Drosophila melanogaster: one gene and its partner. The protein of the gene in region 2 interacts with the protein of the main gene of each other region in a pairwise test. Each region holds a gene or a part of one and is shown on either strand. Other genes may lie near its edges.

Region 1 (8,290 bases), on a different chromosome or scaffold from region 2:
ATCGAGCAAGAGAGTGGGAGAGCGTGGAAGGGGAAGAGAAGAGCAGAGCAGCGAAGAGGAGAGGAGACAATCACGTCATCCAGCCTGCCATGACACACCAACATCAACATCGATACAGTGAGGGCTCTCGGCTAATGAACAGCGGCTCAGAATAGATAAACTCGTTCTTTATTGTGGTTACCCCAGAGCTGTTGGCCATATCAAATTCCATTGCATACCTCGGCGATCGCGGGCACAGTGGGTTGCAATCCGTTTATGGTAGGATACTTTAAAGAAATGCTGGATTTCAAACACTAGTCTTATTGGGACATCTTAAACATTCGTTCTTATAGCATACTTTGCGGATTACACGCACTTTGTCCTTAAATGGAAACCAAATTGTGTTTTTTGGGCTAAAAAAAAAGCAAACAAAGCAAGGAATTATATATTGCATTGGTCATCTTTTGGGGTTTGCTGGCTTTTAAAGTTAATGGTTCTGTGTTGAAAACTTTACCTTCGAGAAATTCAGAAATAATTCCTCGTGTGCCAAAGGTTTTTACTCAAGAAGTTTGCCTGTAGTTTTTAGATGATTCAAATCACAACCCGGATTGTAACCGTTTTCTATCTATTTCGATTTGAAGACGGCTTCACTGTACACAGCATTGATGACAACACCGAGATACACACATCTAAGTAAACCCTGTTGGCGAAATAAAGAGGAACGCATGAATTCGATTGCGATGATGATGGAACTCAGTCTTGTTTTTCTAAGCCTTTTAATTAAGGCAATTAAATTGACACCCCTCTCCCAATGCCCGCTTATTATTTCATTTTTTATCGGTCATCCGAGGTTCGATTTTTGGCCTCGGCTTAGAACAGCATCGTTTGTGTGTGCCGCTTGAATGTCGGAGTGTGCGTTGGTGTGTGTGGGTCTTGAGCGAGCGTACGAGAGAGCAAATAAACTGAGTCATGGCTGACGATGACGTTATGCTGCTGCTCTTTTCTACTCTATTATAGTCCGCTGCCTAACTTGCGGCTAGGGCAATTTGTCTCCAAAGTGTTTATGCTCAAAGTTTGCCAATAAAACGCGAAAGAAGGAACAAAAGTTTGGCACCAATGCCCGAACACGACTACCATGGCATTTAGCATTCGATTGACCTCGAGGCCAGCAGCAAATCGATAGCAATGTTTTTTGTTTCTCCTCCAAATCGATAACATGCCGCACAACACCGCCGCCCGCACCCCCAAGCCTCCCCCTTTGTCCACCAAAATGCGGCTTTGAAAACTAGTTTGTGTAGGATGCTCTCACTCCGTGATAAATCTGATTTGAGTTCTAATTAATTTGAAACGATACGATATCGATGAAGATGAACTCGTTTGCGTGCTCTAGCTATCACATTGGAAAGCTAAATTGCTATATATTTTGCCATTAATTTGATTTTAGTTTAAGCTAATGGAAAATTATCATCAGTGAGAATAAATTAGGTGGTTATGGTAATTAAATTTAATGGAATAATAATAATACCTAAATTGAAAGTCTAACACGTAAACGCCATGAACCATGTGGTCGTTTTTTGATAAATTTCACTATAATCTCTAAATTTCAAGATTATTAGTTATAAAGGCATAGTGGCCAATGCAGTACATAGTATATTAAATATTTCATCAATCACATTATCTGTCGACAGTTTTATTTTGTGCGAACACGTCAATTATGAGTAATAGATTTTTCGCTTTATCAACTGGCAAGAACTTTGGAAAATTTGTCAATTATTAGTACTTCTATTGTCAACTACAAGTCCTATGACTCTTCTTGCTTCTTTATTATTTATGAACTCATTGCAAGCATTGCAAAATGTTCTCTATGGTTTGGTTGTTGGAAACACCTCATCAAATACTATATACCCCCCTGATCGCTTTAATCTCAGCGGGCAATGCGAACAGCTGATTTCATATTTGCTCTCGCAAATTTGTAAAAATAAATACGGCTGACCAATAATAAATGCGACGAGACAACCCCCCTCGATGCCGCCAACCCGCAAAAAACCCCTACCTTTCCAACACCCATGCCGAATTAGCAAAGTTCCCTGCCTTCCGAAAAGATGGAGATCTACATTCGTGTGCGAACCGCATAGAACCGCCCGAAACCAGAGCGGCAGTGCGAGCGGGACGGCAATGGACCAGAGGCGGTCAGTTTGGACGGTCTGGTGGTCTGGGTCTTTGGGACTCGGCGACTGGGCCGCGGACATCTGACGTCGTTGTCGACCATGCTCCGGCTACGGTATTATATCATGTGGCCAAGACGTTGGTGTGGTTTTTGGTTGCGGTAGTATTGGTGTTGGTGATACGGACGGACGGACGGAGTCCCGTATTTGTTCAAAGTACTGCATTGGGGCTTTATCTTAATGCGATAGAATGAGAGTCGGATTCGTGACACGTTACGGAAACATTTCAACTGGCGTTCTATCTGCTCTGCTGAGGGCCGCACGTCGTCTGGCGGTAAACAAAAAATCCAGCGCACTATGATTTAGCGTTGTCCGTTCGACGGTTTTATTGCCAAAAGTTTGAGAATTTATTTTGACTAGTTTTTTTTGAGCTGTTTCCTTGTATAACACAATTGCTTTCAAAAATGTTTACGTGTTTTATGGCTTTTATTTTGGGGGGAAATAGAAACGAGTAAGAATTTTAATTCTTATGTAAGGTTTATTATTTTAGCTGTTTTTCAAACATTGATGCCTTTCGTCAGTTGAGGAATTTTAAAGCTAATGTTCATGGATAATGAAATCGGCCAGCTCTGGTGATAGCTTCTACCCTTTTTTTTTTCTTATCTATTCTGCTTACTCGGTGACTGTCCTCCCGCATTGATAAGAGTGGGAATAGTTGTTTTCTCGACACATCCGCAATACGAAATTCTAGAAGTAATAATAGATCTCGGGCCAATTGTTATCAGCTTTTATGCGGACGTCATGCGGTGAAGCAAATGGAATGCTATTTTTCTTCGATCGTCAAATAATTGGTCGTAATTACTCGCAGACTCTGTCACTTGGTGATTTTTGTTGAATCATTGCTCGATTGCAATTTGTTTGATACTGTTCCTTAAGTGCTTCTATAGGCTGAGAGAAAAGTGAATAAAAGTAGCGTACTTTCAGGCCCATACGAGCACAAGTACATTGTAATTCCGTCAATTTGGGAAATTCCTATTGAACTGTAAGATAAGGTTTCCAAGAGCAAATATTGATTAATAACTCAATTTATGGTTTTAAAATTTTTTTTAAGTTTCTAGCTAATTTAGTAGCTTGAAGTCAGACCTAGCTTCTGCATTTTGTTTTAAATAAAACAGGTGATTTCAAATTCCTAAAGATTCCTGTATAATGAAAAAATGTCGTTTAAACTCGATTTATTTTTCGCCATTTTGTACAGTACTCGTAATCGGTCTGGTCAAGATAACGGCCGAACTATTTAGATAAGCTGACAAGTGTATGTCAAACTGAACCCAAATCACTGTGCGTCGACGTCGCTGCCGCAGCGAAGGCGGCTACTCTCGTCCGTTGGTCATGTGTGCGATTCAGTCTGCTCGCTGAATTCGCCGCGTTCGCTCTGTTCGCTCTGTTCTGTTTGCCTCGTTTTGGCCCGTCCGTTTGCCAAATTTCGTTTGCTTTTTGTGTTCCCGTTGTGCAAGAACAGCCAAACAGAAACAACAACTACACTAGTACAAGTACGTGCAGCAACAACAATGGCCATTGGCTAAAAAGCAGCTAGAAATTGTTGCGCTCCTTGTGTAAAACATAATTATTTGCTCTCAGTCTCAAGAATCCCTCACTCTCTTTCTCTTGCTTTCACTCTATCTCCCTCTCTTTTGCTCGTTGGCTAGCCAGAAAAATAGTATTTTCGTCGTCAACGTGCCATAATTTCTTTTTTCTGCTTAGCCAGCAAAAAAATAGAACTTTTGGACTGGGAAAAGTTAGATGTGCGTTTGTGTGAGTGCGTGTGAAAAAAGAACTGCAAAAGTTAACGTTAAATTAGCGGGCTAAAAGAAAAACCCAACCACCCGCCGCCCCACTTATGTGAACAGCACGTGCTTAGCTGCAGTGAAAATAAAACAAAAAAAAATTAAATGTGACATTTGAAAAATTATACATTTAGCTGAATGTTGAATGTTGTTCGTTCGGCTTTCGTTTTGATTTTGATCTTTTCGATTTGTTTTTGTATCCTTGATTCCGCTCCTCTCCACAATCTCTTCTTAATTTGAATATTGATGTATAATTTTAAAAAGTTTTCTCTCACTCGTCTTTCCTTTTGCCTTTGTTGTTGGAAAAAAGCATACAAATAAAACCGAACGAAAAACACAACAAAAAGAATACGGGGAAGCGCACGAAAAGTTTGCCTTCATACGAAAATAAATGCAAAATGAGAAATTTTCTTAAATATTTTTATTTGCGAATATAGCTTCATGAATTAAGAACAAAATAGGAAAGCTGGAAGAGCCAAAAAATAGAAAAATTCGCACTCAAGCAAAACACCAAACGGAAGATCCAAAGCAAACAACCAACCAACAACATCAACAGCATCAACTAATATCAAATTAAATAACTAAGCCTAATAACGTATACATTTAAAGATCTATTTATAAATTAATATTTACCATAATGATTTAGTAAGTTAAGCTTAAAGTACAAAAAAAAAAAAATAAGAAAAGCAAAGAAAAAGAAACACCACAACCAACAACAACATCAACAACCAACCAACCAACAGCCACAAATAATTAATCAATCATTAAACGGAGTAAATTCACAAATCTGTAATAAATGCAAATGACAAGGAAATAACGAAAACGACAACAACAACAAGTCACCGCCAACAACAACAACCACACATCGGCAGCATAATTAACAACAACCAACAACAACAACGGATCAATACCAAAGATGGAGGCAAAATTCTTGGCTAGCGCTCTTTCATTCCTCTCGATATTTTTAGCGATTTATGCTCAATCACTTGGTGAGTACAGCCCCCCGAAAAAACCCCTCTAAATCTAAAAGAATGAACCCCCTACAATAAGCATAATGATAAACAAAGAAGGCCCTTTTAACCTATAAGTTGTACCCCGCCCATAAAATCACCCTGCCCCAACCACACACCCACCCATACACACATATAATATTAACACACCTATGTACGTAGCAGCCCAGTATAAAGGAATACAAAAAATATACATACATATGTATATGGGGGAAAGTATGGTTAAACTGCAGCTGTGATAGCAGAAATTGCAAAACAGAACACAACCGAACCGAACAAAGCAAAACAAAGAGGTGGAGCAAGAGGAGGAAGGGAATAAATAAAAAACAGCAGATTGTTTGTGGCTTACTGTAACACCCACTAACCTTATCCCACGCCCCCTAATTGCCCCGCCACCCAAAACAAAAGTGCACCCACCAAAGGGCGAGGGTGTTCGTCCACCCACCACCTGACTTTTACCCCTTCCAAGTTCACCCTAAAGCCAGACCCTAGCCGCAATAATGGAAACAAACAGTATTAATACGAGGCGACTTAAATCAATGGTAAAGTTATCGGAGAAATGTATCGATAATTCTTCAAATTAGGGGATCTCAGAAAGGGGCACTTTGCTGGTCCTTTAGCCACAAGACACAAATGGGTTTTACCAGCGATATTCGAAAATATTAATATATTTGAGTCCGCGCTTTTAAAAATGAAACTTTTATTTCGTTCACGTTCTCGTCTTTGAATAGAACCACAAAATGGACAATCACATTTCTTTTTTGCCCGGCTTTATGTATTCTCTTTTCATATTGCACGGGACACCATCCACCCACCAGCCACCCACGAGCCACCCACCATCCATTTTCCAACTTTGGACAAGGTCTCTGTGCTGCATTCTACTGTTTTGCCCTCTAGTTAAGCGGACTTCGATATTTTCGTGTTGCTTTTATAGTTCATATTGTTGGGTCGGTTGGATGGACTTGGGATTGGATTGCAGTGCTGCCATATTGACATTGTTGCTTATGTTTTTTCCCCCTGCCGTTTTCGTCGTAGGTTTTCCGTCGCTTTTCCACTGTTCGCGCGACCGCATTTCATTTGATTTTCAATTTTCCACACAATTGCTGAAAGAGAACAGCGGCGAATGTCGGAAAAAAAAAGCAGAGGAGCAGAAGCAGAAGCAGACGCAAAAGCAGAGTATCAAGTTCATTTCGGTTCTAGTGAGGGCTATCTTTAAGAATTTTTGTTTAGCCTTAAGAAGACTATTTTACATGCGGTCCAATAATTACGGCCTGTCTCTGGTTTTCCCCGCTTGTTTATATTAACTTTAGCCGACCCAAAGCGAAGCGGACCAGAACGAATCGATTTACCGATTAACCGATACGTGCCCGATACGTACCCGATACGAACCGGCAACGGTGGCCTGCATTTTGTTTACATATGGAACTGGGCAGCCCCGCCTCGCACCTTCCACCTTCCTTGGGGATTTGTCTATGATGCCCGCGCGGGCGGTTCCATCTATTTATTATTCTATGCATACTATCCATTTACCTATTCTACTTTATTCCATACATCCATCTATCTACATATCTATCCGTCCGTCCGTCTGAATATCTGAATGTCCGTCTGGCTCTGGCTCACTACCAAAACCTACGTATGTTCATGAATTTTGATTTTTTTTTTCGCTAAACTGAACGTTTGGCTGGTTTTGTTTTGTTTCGTACATTATTTAGCCCCATGCAGCTATTTTCACATTCAAGGTGTATTAATTGAGTTTTTTTTTCGTGCTGTTCATATGCTGGCATTTATTCATAGTTGATTGGGGGTATTCGTTCCGTTCAAAAGGCAGTGTGTAAATAATTTAAGGTTTTATTCGTGTCTTTATTAGGTTCTCTGATTGATTTGTTCAATTATTCATAGATACACAAAGTTTCGGCTTATTATGGGTTAAAAACGAAATGCAAAACTATTGTCCATTTTAGAACAAACCCATATCGTTAAGTGTTGTTGTACCTTACTCTTAGTTTTTATTAGACCATTTGGTATTTTTTGCACAATTTCGTTAGCGTACTAAATATTCAATGATTTTTCAAATTGTTTACGTAAATAAGCAGCCGAAATAAAAGAAAGAAATTACCGGGCACGCATCGAGGGAAAACCGGCATGGAAAAACAAGAAAAGCGATCCCTCCAGGGAGATAATGTCGGGTGGTACATACATATGTTGGCACTACATGAATCACTTTGGTTGCTTGTTGTTGGAAAGGGGGGGTAGGGGTGGCAGGTCGAAAACCAGAAAGCCAATTTGAAGAAGCATTCCTTTGTCTCCCCGCTGAATTTGCCCCACACCACTTCAAAGCCATTTTCAGCTAGTGGCGAAAAAACCACGTGTTGTCCAGGTGTTTATGCTGCGGACGAATGTGCGAAGAGCCAAAATATAATGCTGGTCTGGTCACACCACCCAACCCCCCATCCCATATTGCCCCCAAGTCTGAGAATATTCCATAGGTCTTGTCACATACATATGTACATATGTATGTACACTGTACCATGTACTCCTCCTTATTTCTCTTTTGTTTTGCGGAATATCCGAGCAGGTGGAATGTCTTGGCAAGTGCTTTCATTTCGGCTGTTGACTGCGCACATTTGGCTAACCAGTTTCATTTTGCCATGTTTATTTAATGACATTTTCATTACATTAATAAATGTCAAATATTTAAATTTCGGCTCACCCAGCAAAAGGAAGCCAAAGCAAACAAGTAGCGTAAAATGAAACCGATGTAAAGTGGGCTAAAAAAAAGGTTTAAATGCTTAAAATGCTATGATACTATTTGTATCAATATAAACTAAACTAAACTAACATTTAAAATGTTATCACAGGCGAAATATCATCTAACAAAGAAACTTTTGTTCCGCGACTTACAATGTTAATAAGAGAAAATGTTTAATTAAGCTGACTGTGTGCCCTTTTTCAATTACTTTATCGCTGGAAGTCTCTTATTGCACATAAATCATACGTATTGATCAAGAATCTCAAGCGGATTAAGCTGAAGTGAATTTAACTCCTTGAACGCCTAGCAATAATTCAATGTTGTTCTGGTTTCCCTTGCTTTTGCTGCATTTGCTATAAAAATACATTACGAATGGCAGAGATTGTCTTGGGTATCTGCATTCTGCATTGAATCCGAGATGATTTGTGCGAGATACGAGGCGGTGGCGGCAGAACCTGACTGTTTTGCTTCTTTTGCGCAAACATTATTTTTATTAAGACAATAAACATGAAATGTAATTTCCCTTTCAATGTCATCGTCGCC
Region 2 (11,621 bases):
TTTTTCGGTACTATCGATTCGAGTATATTATTCTCACTGTTTCAACAGCGTTATAACAGCCTATTCACAGCCTAATAAAACAAAATGTTTTTCTTTAAAAAGAGATAAATTCATTCATAAAAAAAATTTTTTAAACGTGGTTGAAAAATCCGTTTTTATTACGAATAAAAAAAGAAAGGACTTTATTTAATAACATAAACGAATGCAAAACCCAAACCAAGCGAAATCATTCCCTTTAATTCCATAAAACGCGATTAACCTTTTGATTTCGTGTTTATTTGGTAATTGTCTTTATGGGTAAATGTCTCACAACAACTATTTTAATTCTAGGGTAATGTAATGTGATGTTCTCCATTCAAGCCTCCCTTCTGTCTAAAGCCACTTAATTTTTCCTGCACAAAGTTTAGTCCTTTCCGATATGGATGTGCGAACCTACAACTATAGTCGGCCTATATAACCATCTAGTCGGGCATTGATCGTAGTTATCATATTATAAAGTTATATACGGGTATTTGTAGTTCATGTCTTTTAAACTCAGTTCTTTTTGCGCAACATTTGGTGCTCAGTTGTTGGTTGTTTAGGTTGTTTGGTTTCTTCGTTTGAATATCATCATCTTACACATCCTTTTGCTGTTGCTCAACGGAAGGATAACAAGCGATTGGGTGCGGGTGGGCATGGGGATTGATTAAGATACAAAGATACGGATGAGAACGTACGGATAGTAGTAATAGTAACTGGTAGAATCAGCAATATCGGTGAGGCATTCGAACTCTGAAACTCAGGAACTCAACTAGTATTTGATCGCTACTAAAACACTATTAACATATGGGGCAACCAACGAATCCGAATCATTTCTAGGCCTCCTCGCACTCCTCCTCCTCGCGCTGAACAAACAACCGATGGTTGCGGGCCTCCAGGATGGACCACACAATCAGCGGAGTGGTCCCGAGCACCATGCAGGATCCCATGCAGTAGAAGCATATCTCGTAGTCTCCGGAAAGGTCTCGCATCAGTCCTGCCAGCGGAGGCACCGATATGGCCCCGATGCTCTGGAACATCCTCACCAGCCCGTAGCTCGAGCTGATCCTGTCCGTGCCAAAGACGTCCGCAAGGAGGACCGGCATAAGTACATACCAGCTACCCAGGCAAAGTCCGTAGACAGCGGCCGATAGACCCACCAAAACCAGAGTCTTGGCGAAGGGAATTGTGAGCACGGCACATCCGGCGCCCAAAATGCTGTCGATATAGGGAAATGTGATTAGTTTGGATCGAAAAATAAACCTTATCTGGTACTCACCACAAGGTGTAGGTCTTCTTGCGATCGAATAGCTGCAGGTCGCACAGCCAGCCAAGTCCAAGGCGCCCAATTAAATCTAGGACCGCGCTGATGGCCACCAGGTATCCCGCCTCACTTTTATTGTATCCTAAAGATGAACCAAGTTTATAATATTTAAAATCGTACGCCGAAAGAATATACTTTGAACATTTTAAATAGTATACCTATTGAAATAACGTGGGCGGGCAGATAGTACAACATGTAGGGACAGCCGACGGACATCAAGGTGACGGATAGGCACATCAGGATAAAGCTCGGGTCCTGCAGCAGACTGATGTCCAGGTACATCTCGATGCGCTCGCAGCAAGTGCGTGGTCCCCGCTCTTCGTCGTCATCGTCATCCTCATCGGCGGCAAGGTGGCCGTCGCCATCGATAATGGACTCCACCAGCTGGGAGTCTAGAATGCCGAGCTCCGCCTGCTCCACCGGCTGCTGCTTGAGATCACTGAGGTTGCTAACCGGAGTGGGTATCTCCATGCTCTTGCTGAGTCCGCGACTGACCACACTCGGCGGCGAAAGAGGCTTCTCCAAGTGGGCTTGTATCTTGGATATCACCTCGTCGTTGGCAAAGACATTGCGCCGACGACGACTTCCGCGATTGGAGTCCGTGCCGGAGTGCTTGCGATAGACCCAAGTGGAGTCCGTGCTCAGATCTTCGACGGAGTGCAGCAATCCGGAACTGCGCACCTTCTTCATGGGCTTGATGAAAGTGGTCTCGCCAATAATATCCTTTACCTCGTCGTCACTCTCCTGCGCTGACTTGTCCTGGGCTAAGTAACCAAATGGGATTTATTATTTGGAGTTTTCCTCGATGAAATAATACTCCCACCTGGCTGCTTGCTGGCATAGTAGTTCAGGTGGTTCTTGGACTCCTCCAGGAACAGATGCTCGATAAACTTGTCGCTCAGCTCGTGGCCTGCACCCACATCGCAGGTGTCTAGGTAGGTGGATGTAGTCAGAATGCCCGTGGTGCTCGGATTGATGTCTTCGTTGAGGGGCTTTGCCGTCTCCTCCTGTCCCTGGCCCGAGTCCTGATCCGTGTAAGCACTGATTGGGCGGTAAAGTGTGGCCGAAACGCACACGTGAAGCATGCAACCGCCCAGGATCAGAATAGTGCCGTGGAAGCCACAGTTCTCCGCGAGGTGCTTTATCAGAACGGGTAGGATGAAGCTGCCGGCGGCAGTGCCCGAAACGCAGATTCCATTGGCCAATGCACGGTGCTTGTCAAAGTATTGGGACACTATCACTATGCCCGGAGTAGTCGAGAGGCCACCTCCAATACCTGGGCGTGAAGAAATAGTTAAATATAAACATCATGATAACTAAATAAATATAATTACTAATGTGATGAGGATAAATTTAAATTGATTATACATTATGCACCTGTGAGTACGCCAAATGTTAGGAGGAGGTGCAGCAGACTGGTGGCAAAGTAGCTCAGTATCATGCCCATGGCGCAGAAAATGCCGCCGACGAAGACCACCGTTCGGCAGGAGAATCGCTGGCAAAGAGCACTGGACAGCGGGGCCAGGACCAGACATAGAGCCGACAGGATCGCTGGAATCCAGGAGGCCACGGTGGCCGTAGAGCTGGGAAATGTCTCCATAATCTCCACATACAGCACGCCGTACGACTTGACCAGTCCGGCCACCCAGAATTGCACGGAGAAGGCCCCAAAGACGATGAACCAACCGTAACCGCCGTCCGGTGGCTCCACATTCGGACCACCGCTCTCCGTTGTGGTCGTTGAGGAGTCCCGATCCTTGACCACTTGCTTGCTACGCCTGGCGACGGTCACGCGATCCCGCTCGCGCTCCTTGGCCCGGCGGACGCACCTGCTGCGGGCCGTATTCAAACCAGATCCGGAACCTGAACCCGACTTCCGACTGCTGCGAAGCTCATGCGATTTGGCAATCAACGGTCGCGCCGTGATGCTGGACACGGTCAGCAGGTTCTCATTGTCGTCCTCCTCCAGCTCGGAGATCTGATGCTCCAGCAGGCTGGCGTGCAGGGTCCTCGGGCAGCATTGCGTGTCCAGGCTGAGGGTGGCGGGTCGTCGCATGGGCGAGGCGTTGGGTGAACAGCATCCGGAGCGGAAGGCGGCGGACTCCATGTGTTTGCCATCCATCTCGGTGGGCACAACGATGTCGGGCAGTGGAGCCGGCGGCGCTGATACCACCGAGAACAGGGAGCCGCATTCGAGGCCGACTCCGCCACCGGACCCGTCCACGCCCGCCCCTCCGCCGGAGCCCTCAGCCGTCTTCGTGTGGAGAAGGCACCCTCCCGACTCGTACTGGACTCCACCAGTTGGGTCCGGTTCACTCGCGCAGTAAACCGATCCCCGGGAACCCTGCGAAAAACATAAATAGTATTTTTGTATCGTTAAACATTAAATATGCTGGTTATCTAGTGCAATATTTAATATAAATCTATGAAAGTGTGTTTAAGATATGGAGTATGGAGTATGGAGGGATGTTTTTTTTAAATAACAATTAAATAACATAACAAGTTAACGAAGTAAGCAACCCAAGAAAATGGGCCAATTTAATTGCGAAAGTTCTTATCAAGTAGTAGACATCAAAAGTTAATGTCCCAAATTGGCGTGCATCCAAAAATTCCGCCTCCGCCGTAGCATTCAAAAATGGGTTAAACCCCGTCAGAAATCCGGGGCTGTTGACAAATCGACTGGAGGCGGGTCAAGGAAGCAACAACTTAGCCCAATTTGCATTGCTAAACGAAATGCGAGGAGCGCACGCGATCTGCCGCCTTATAGACGACATCGCTGCAACGACCTAATGTATGCAATACGTTTTGTTTAATTGAGTTAACATCCAGTTCCTTCCCGATTCCCGCTCCGCTGGGCTATGTAATTACCCGCGGACCGAGCGGATTTTCTTGTTATATGTACTTTGTTAAATCGATGCCAGGCTGCAGGTGCATGCTGTGCCTTGCGGGCTGGCATGACGTCTGGGAATTTTCCATTTGTCTGCGGGATCCGCTGCCACTTCCTCCCACGAAACCTCCATTTTCCGACGACTCAGGGTCAAGAGCGAGGTGGGTCTGGTCTGGCATGCGGTTGCCTTTCAGCACTTTTTTAGTTTCTGTCTTTGTTGCCGGAAATTGATGGGGGGTTCGATTGGCCCCAAAGGAGCAGTGGTGGGTGTTTGCTCCAATCCAAGGACGATGCAATGCTCGAACCGAAGGCTAATGCCAGGAAATATACCCGTGCTGATAAGACGCCAATCTTTGCCAAGCCCTCGTAGAAAGGACACAATTGGAAAGCAGTCAAAAACGAAATTCGGTAAGTTGATGTAAGGTATTATTGGGTTTACAGCCATGCCAACAGCTCAACTATACATACTAACTAATATATACATTTAAAACTTTATGTTATATGTGCACAGTTAATATTTTTACCTCATATTGAACTATTCCTAATTAGATTTCAACACCTGCCCCCTTAATATTTATGTGCTGTCGCAATCTTATTGTTATAACCAACAGTTCGTAATAACTCATTTCCTAATAGCTTCTTATTTCGCACTTAGTTGTCCCGCTCCCACCTATTTCTTGGTACTTCCAATGACGTACGTATACGAAATATGATACATTGCTGGCATCAAATATCAAGTATGCGACGTGTGTGCCCATTAGAAAGAAGGATTGGTGCCCAACGCTGGTTAAACCTATGCACAATATATTAGGTGAAGCGCTCTATCCTTAGTCAACCTTTTTATTTGCTTTTACTTAAGTATCCTATCTAAGCATGTCAGTTCTTAATGAGCAAATAATCAATAATTATTATAACGAATAAATATTGCATGGTAAATGTAACAAATCATAACATCACTTATGCTTAATAAAGCCAAGTAAATTTATATAATTGAATTCTAACTTTGAAAGTAAATTTAATAAATTTGTCTTTTGTTTACGTGGCATGTCATTTGTCGAACTTCGTGCCGCTTATGAACTGTCAGCCATATTGATGGTAGAAATATGCCAAATAGATGGCATGCAATATTCTTGAACGAGTGCAAAATGCAGTCACACATCTGACACGACTAATGAGCGTTGGCCAACTCTTGGCATTTGGCAACTCCCCCTCAAGAGCATGAGTCACAGCATCCTAGAGCCAGTGACCTTGTCGAATGTCAAAGGCCCACGTCGCCGTGGCATGCGATGGTATACGATATCCTGGACGCCAAGAACCCCCAAGACCACCCTCTGCTGTCAGCTGGAATCCGGCTTAAGCTGTCAGGAAGCTTTCGCTGGGGCAGCTCTGCAATCGCTGGTTGTTTTCAATTTCCCAACATTTCAAGGCCTTTGCCAGCGCTTAATGAAACGGAAGAACCTTCCCCCGGGCCAAGTTAGTTGGCGCTCGTGTGTGGGCCTGAACGATAAGCGGTCAAGGTGAAAGGGGTGGCCTCAAGTCGGCTGGTCGAGGGTGGTATCTAGTCGGGGAGGGAATCTAGTGGGGAGGACTTGACGCACAACTTGTTGAGCCACCCGTAATTGCTAGCCCTCCGTAATAATAGATATTAGGTTGCACAGGCCTAGGCCAATTAGTTCACCCAATCAGCAGGACATTGATGCTTAAGTGTAGGGATGCTGTACTCCCATATGCGAGTGTAAACACCTACTTAAATTTGGCTCAAAATTCATGTTTTAAGTGTTTACAAAATCAACGATTGTAAGTGTAAGTATAATTATAAGCATAATAAAAAGTTACTTTTCATTTGTGTCAAAACTAGTAGAAATGAACACTTCTATTCGATTTAATAGGTGTCATTAAAGGTCAACACCATGCCACGACTGAACTTTGGCTTGTGGTTTTCGGTCTTTCCATCAGCAGTCGGGGCATGTATTGTTTACTTTCTTGTCCCCGTTCTTCTAAAGCGACTAAGATGGATGCAACTTGTGACGTTGACCCATTCTCCTGTCGCTTGCAATGTTTACGTACTCGTAAAACACTCTCTGGTCCAGTGCGCATGCTCACCAGAGGAACCCAAACTCCAGCTACCTCAATACGATTGCCATTGGCCCACTCCCCAGAAAAGGCAGCGAGGAGGAATCAAGGGGGATGGTTCCTGACCTTCCCAAAGTAAGGATAATGGGATGCTGGGTAGTACTACTCACCTGTAAATGCCAGTCACGCTGTAGGGACGACATTGCCGTCCTTTACTGAACGTGAAACGCCTTTGATGTTTCTCTTGTTGCTCGCGCTGTTGTTGTTGTTGCTTGGGGCGTTGTTGTTGTGCACCCAAATGCATTGGGTTGCCTCTGCTTTGGGTCCTTAAAGTCCTGAAGAGCTGACGTTCGCGGGCCTTCACCGGTTGGCCCAAAATAAATACTCTCTTGCTACTGCTGCTTCTGCCGGAACGGCTCCTTTGGCACTGAATCCTTTGCGGGTTCGTCTTGATGGTTTGTTCTCCGAATCGATTGCGATTTTCGTTCGCTTTTTCTTGAGGGCTTCCTTGAGGAACTTGTATGGGTTTTCCTAGGGGCAATATCCTTGCTGCTCTGGCGTCATGATGCGTTGATGTGACACACAGTATTCCCTGTTACTATTGTTTATGCAGCAGCTGTTTCCGCTTCCGCTTCCTTGTCGCCCCCTTCCGTATCCGTTTTCGGCACAAGCGCACTCTCTCACTCACTCGCTGGCGAATATGCAGTTTTTGGAACAAATCGATATGGGGCGAGATTCCAGCTGAAGTCCTTTGTTCTTAGCTTACTCAATCACAATCGAACGAATTGGATCCTTCCAGTGAGTTAAATTGGTTAAAAATACGCCTGAAGCTATTGAACACTTTCTCTGATTGGGAAAACCCTTTGCAAAAGCCTTTTTATTTTTCGTGAGTACTCTTCGTTTGTTGCCCTTTTTGGCGGATGCGACTGTTCTGCTGCTGCTCAAGCTCACGACTAAACTGATGATACTCATGTCCTCTGGAGGTCCATTGAAAACCCAACTCAGTTAAGGTGAACTTGGTGGTGGTGAGTTTCGGCATGGAAAAAGGAAAAACAAGAGTAAGAGGTCCTCTCTTCCTTTCCATTGGTTTTCATCCGTTTTGTTTTGCTAGGTTCTTTTGGCCGCCTGTTGCCAGAACCACCTACTTTTATTTCTGAAAACAGCTGATGAATGAATTACGAATTGCCTTACGAATTAAAGTCACACAAATTTAACAAATGTAACTTTACAATTTCTCATGCTAGATTTTCATATACCTATAATTTTTCAATTTTAATCAAAGTAGGTGTATTCGTTGCTCTTGATTACTGCACGGCAAATTTATAATATAAATCCAAAACTAAACGAGAACACTTTGCATTGCTCTATAGAGAAGTGCGTAGTTCTTCCAGGCTTTTGGTCATGTTCAACGCCACTCCAAGAAATATAAAGCTGATGGCCACAGATGAGAAAACGGCAGCCGGTAGGTTCTTGAGTAGCCACTGCAGGATCATCGTGTAGACGGCAATGGCCATGAGCAGCATGCACATGTATGGATAGGCCAGCCATTTAATGAACTGCAAAATCACAGGATTCTTAAGAATATTTCCTCAATTAATTTTGCTTCAGGTTAACCTTCCAAACTGCAATAATCAACAGGAGCGAGGATAATGCATAGAGAGCCGATCCGGTGGTCCACACAATCTTTACCGCTTCAGAGACACCTGATAAACTGGTCATGAAAAGATAGCCGGCAGCCACGCCCGATATACAGGATACGCAGGCCATAATGGAGACGATCAGCCTGCAAGTCGGCAAAAGTCTCTTATATGAGAATTCCTGTTCGCTCATGTGTTTGATGTATTTTAAGTCACTTAACACAATGGATTTTGAATTTTTTTATATTGAAAGCAAATCATTTTCATAAAAAAATTTTAATTGTTGTTTTTGAGTTGTTCAACAGTTTTCTTTGTTTGACGTTGAATAGTTGAAAATGTTCAAAACTTTCGCGCCCAAATAAGCTTGCTTATCGGTATTATTGATAAAGCGGCCATCGATAAGTTCTGCAATCGATTGCGATTAGCTTTTGGTATTTCGATTTTTTACGCAGGTTAATTTGCGCACAAGATTCCCAGACGTGATTAATGCTGATTTCTGGTCTGGACTACACAGCATTGCTGGTATAAGGAGTCGGGACCAGAGGAGTAAGATTTCGGGAAGGAATCCCGTCCGGTAGGGACTACTAGCATTCGCAAGTGACGTCCAGCAACCGGAGGACCCCCAACTGTAGAATCCGCATCACCATCCTAATCCCAACAAACCAATGACATCTTGAGACCTCACCAGCCATGGATCCCTTCGTGTTCTTCATAGTACTGGCATCGCTTTATGGCGTTCTTTACTTTTTCGACCGCTTCTTCAAGGTGTAGTATATCCAGCCAAAGTACGTCCAGATACTTAATGTAATCCCTTAGAGTTGCATGCACTACCCGTACGATGCCTTCCTCAAGAACACCGGGCTGAGTATAAATTTCATGAGCCTCCACTGGCACACGAGTGCCTTTAACAGGACCCTCCTACGCTGGGGATCTGCCGGTAACAGCTGCACCCGGAGAGTAATGATCACCAGCTTTAATGTAGGAGTCCTGGTCACCTTTTCTCTGCTCCCGATCGGTCTGATCCTGCTCATTGCCACTATCTTCAGCAGTGGTGAACAAGACAGCTCTTCGTCTGTATCCTCGCCCGTTGGAGTCCCTGTGCAGCTGGAAATTCTACTGCCCGGCGTCAACTTGCCGTTGGAGGAGATCGGATACTACATCACAACCCTTGTGCTCTGCTTGGTGGTGCACGAGATGGGACACGCCCTGGCCGCTGTGATGGAGGATGTGCCTGTCACCGGGTTTGGAATAAAGGTTAGAATGATATAGCGTACTTTACAACCTAATACGCTTACTAATTAGGTAAATATTAATATTTCAGTTCATCTTCTGCCTGCCGTTAGCATACACGGAGCTCTCCCACGACCACTTAAACAGTCTACGTTGGTTCCGCAAGCTACGTGTTCTGTGCGCTGGAATCTGGCATAATTTTGTGTTCGCTGGCGTGTGCTATCTCTTAATCTCAACGGTGGGAATCACTATGTCACCTTTGTACGCTTACAACCAACACGTAGTGGTCACTGAACTAACAAGGAAATCCCCGCTGAGGGGAGAGCGCGGCTTGCAAGTGGACAATCAAATAACCCAAGTAAACGGCTGCCCAGTAAACAGCGAGGAGAGTTGGGTGACATGCCTGCAGAACTCTCTGAAGCTCAAGCCGGGCTACTGTGTGAGTGCGGACTTCGTGCAGCTTAACGACGAAAGCAGCGCCATCTCACATCATAGCATTGATGGTCAGCTACAGTGCTGTGATGAACTAAATCCGAACGTAAGCTGCTTCGAGGTGGTGGAGGACGCAAATGGAGATGTGCCGGTGGAGCTGCCGCAGCATGTATGTCTCAATGTGCGCCGCACTTTGGAGGAGGTCTCCGAGCACTGCTCGTCCGGAGTTTGCAACGAGGGATTCTGCCTACGACCGCTTATACGAAATATCACTGCCATAATGACGTTCAAGCGACAGAATTTTCGCGGAGAGAAGCTGCCGCCGGTGATCTATGTGGGCCATCCATGGGATGTCACTCGAACTGTGGAGGTATCCGCCTTTGTGCCGAGATATAGCTTATTAAAGGCAGCCTGGCCGGATGCCTGGCTGCTGCTCCTCAAGTATAACGTGGTCTTCAGCATAGGATTGGCGTTGATCAATGCCATTCCCTGCTTTGGTTTCGATGGCGCCCACATTACCAGCACCGTGATACACAGCTTCTTGGTGGGCAGAGTGGATCAGCATGCCAAGAGAGATATCATCTCGTTGATAATCACCAGCGTGGGTTCCCTTCTCTTTGCACTGGCCCTGCTTAAGGTGGCCTGGTTGAGTTTTCTGCGACCCCTGCTTTAAGAACTGAAATGGAAAACTGAAATGGATCCTGGGAGTTCAACTCCCTGCAAAGACGCTAGACTGCTATTTCACCTTCACGAAACACACAAAAACACAGCGAATTGTAGCACCTCAAAGATTCGATAGCTTTTTGTCATAGTCCTTAGTCTTAACTCGTATTTATTTTCGTACGGTTGTCGAGCTCAAAAATAAAATCAAATTAAGCTAAGATTTATGTTCAAGACTGATCCTATTTGCCCTCGCTCACCCCGCTCAGTTGGAGGCTGGTCCTTAGTTCTGTGAGGCTGCGTCTGCCGTGCTGAAGGAGCATCTTGATGGCCACCTCGTCACTTTGATGGCGATTCGTCTGGAAGTCATGCCGTGCCCAGGATTTTAGCTCCAGCTGGCTGTTTTTGTCGGGAACCTGACGAATCGTTCGAAATATTTCCCGGTAGAGCTTCAGTACTTCCTGGCGCAGCATAAACTACAATGTAATCAATTCATTCAATTATTGTTAGTTTTATTAATATATTTGGAAAACCATAAAAATGATTTAAACCTGCTTACCTGCTTCAAACTAAGTGATGCTTTTGGTAACTTGGACATTTCTGCTTAATTGTTTTTTTTTCTTTATATTTTCTAGTTGAATTATTATTATTAGTTATTCTTTTAGTTTTCAAGTTATTCTGTCATTTTAAAAATTATTTGTAATTAGTCAAGAAAAATCATAACAAAAACAGCTGATGATAGTCAGATGTTAGAATTATAGAGAAGGACCGATTATTATTAAGCTTATACTGAACAATCGATATATTGATAGGCTTATACAAATGCGCTAAAATTTAAAATTCGAAAATTTAATAAAAATAAATAATAATTTATATACGTATAATCGAAGACTTTTTTATAGTGTCTGAACTTAATTTGTATATTCTTAAAAATAACTTTACCTTTCATTATTATAGTTTACTAACTTTCAATTAGTTTAATTGGTTTTCCTACATGAAATTAATGTTGTTTGTAGTACAATTCACCTGTTATTAAAGTGATCAATTATTATAGGGCAAAGGAAAACAATTTGTAGCGAAAGCCAACAGCAATTTATGTTAAAATCTCATTTCATCAACCGCCACTAATGAGTCAGTCGCAGAAATAAACTAAATTGTTGTAATGTCCTAACAAACTTATGTTTTTGCGCATTGATGCGGCGTGGGAACGAACGAAGTGACATCCAACACTAAATTTATCTGGCTCGTGTTCAAATCAAATTAAATTCTCGGCATTAAATGCCACATTTATCTACATGAGCACATTGTTTGATTGGCACGCCAGCTGCTCTGCCCCTGTTTCTTCTCTGATTGTGATGTT

Evidence for each region.
Region 1: the proteins of Sln (region 2) and Bsg interact in a two-hybrid assay, tested with the Drosophila melanogaster proteins (one large-scale study listed by BioGRID).

The regions. Positions count from the first base shown.
Region 1 is NT_033779.5:8,084,760-8,093,049, forward strand, and holds the start of Bsg (basigin), read left to right. Parts: upstream 1-3,544; 5' UTR 3,545-3,757; intron 3,758-3,850; exon of another isoform or gene 3,851-3,946; intron 3,947-4,343; exon of another isoform or gene 4,344-4,634; 5' UTR 4,635-4,904; coding exon 4,905-4,977; intron 4,978-8,290.
Region 2 is NT_033778.4:11,840,962-11,852,582, reverse strand, and holds Sln (silnoon), read right to left. Parts: upstream 7,260-11,621; 5' UTR 6,506-7,259; coding exon 6,473-6,505; intron 3,687-6,472; coding exon 2,720-3,686; intron 2,619-2,719; coding exon 2,166-2,618; intron 2,107-2,165; coding exon 1,501-2,106; intron 1,425-1,500; coding exon 1,298-1,424; intron 1,237-1,297; coding exon 855-1,236; 3' UTR 259-854; downstream 1-258. Other genes in the region: CG43190 (uncharacterized protein), read right to left, coding at 7,667-7,858, 7,917-8,069; S2P (site-2 protease), read left to right, coding at 8,630-8,704, 8,756-9,193, 9,261-10,274; CG34229 (uncharacterized protein), read right to left, coding at 10,504-10,737, 10,821-10,859.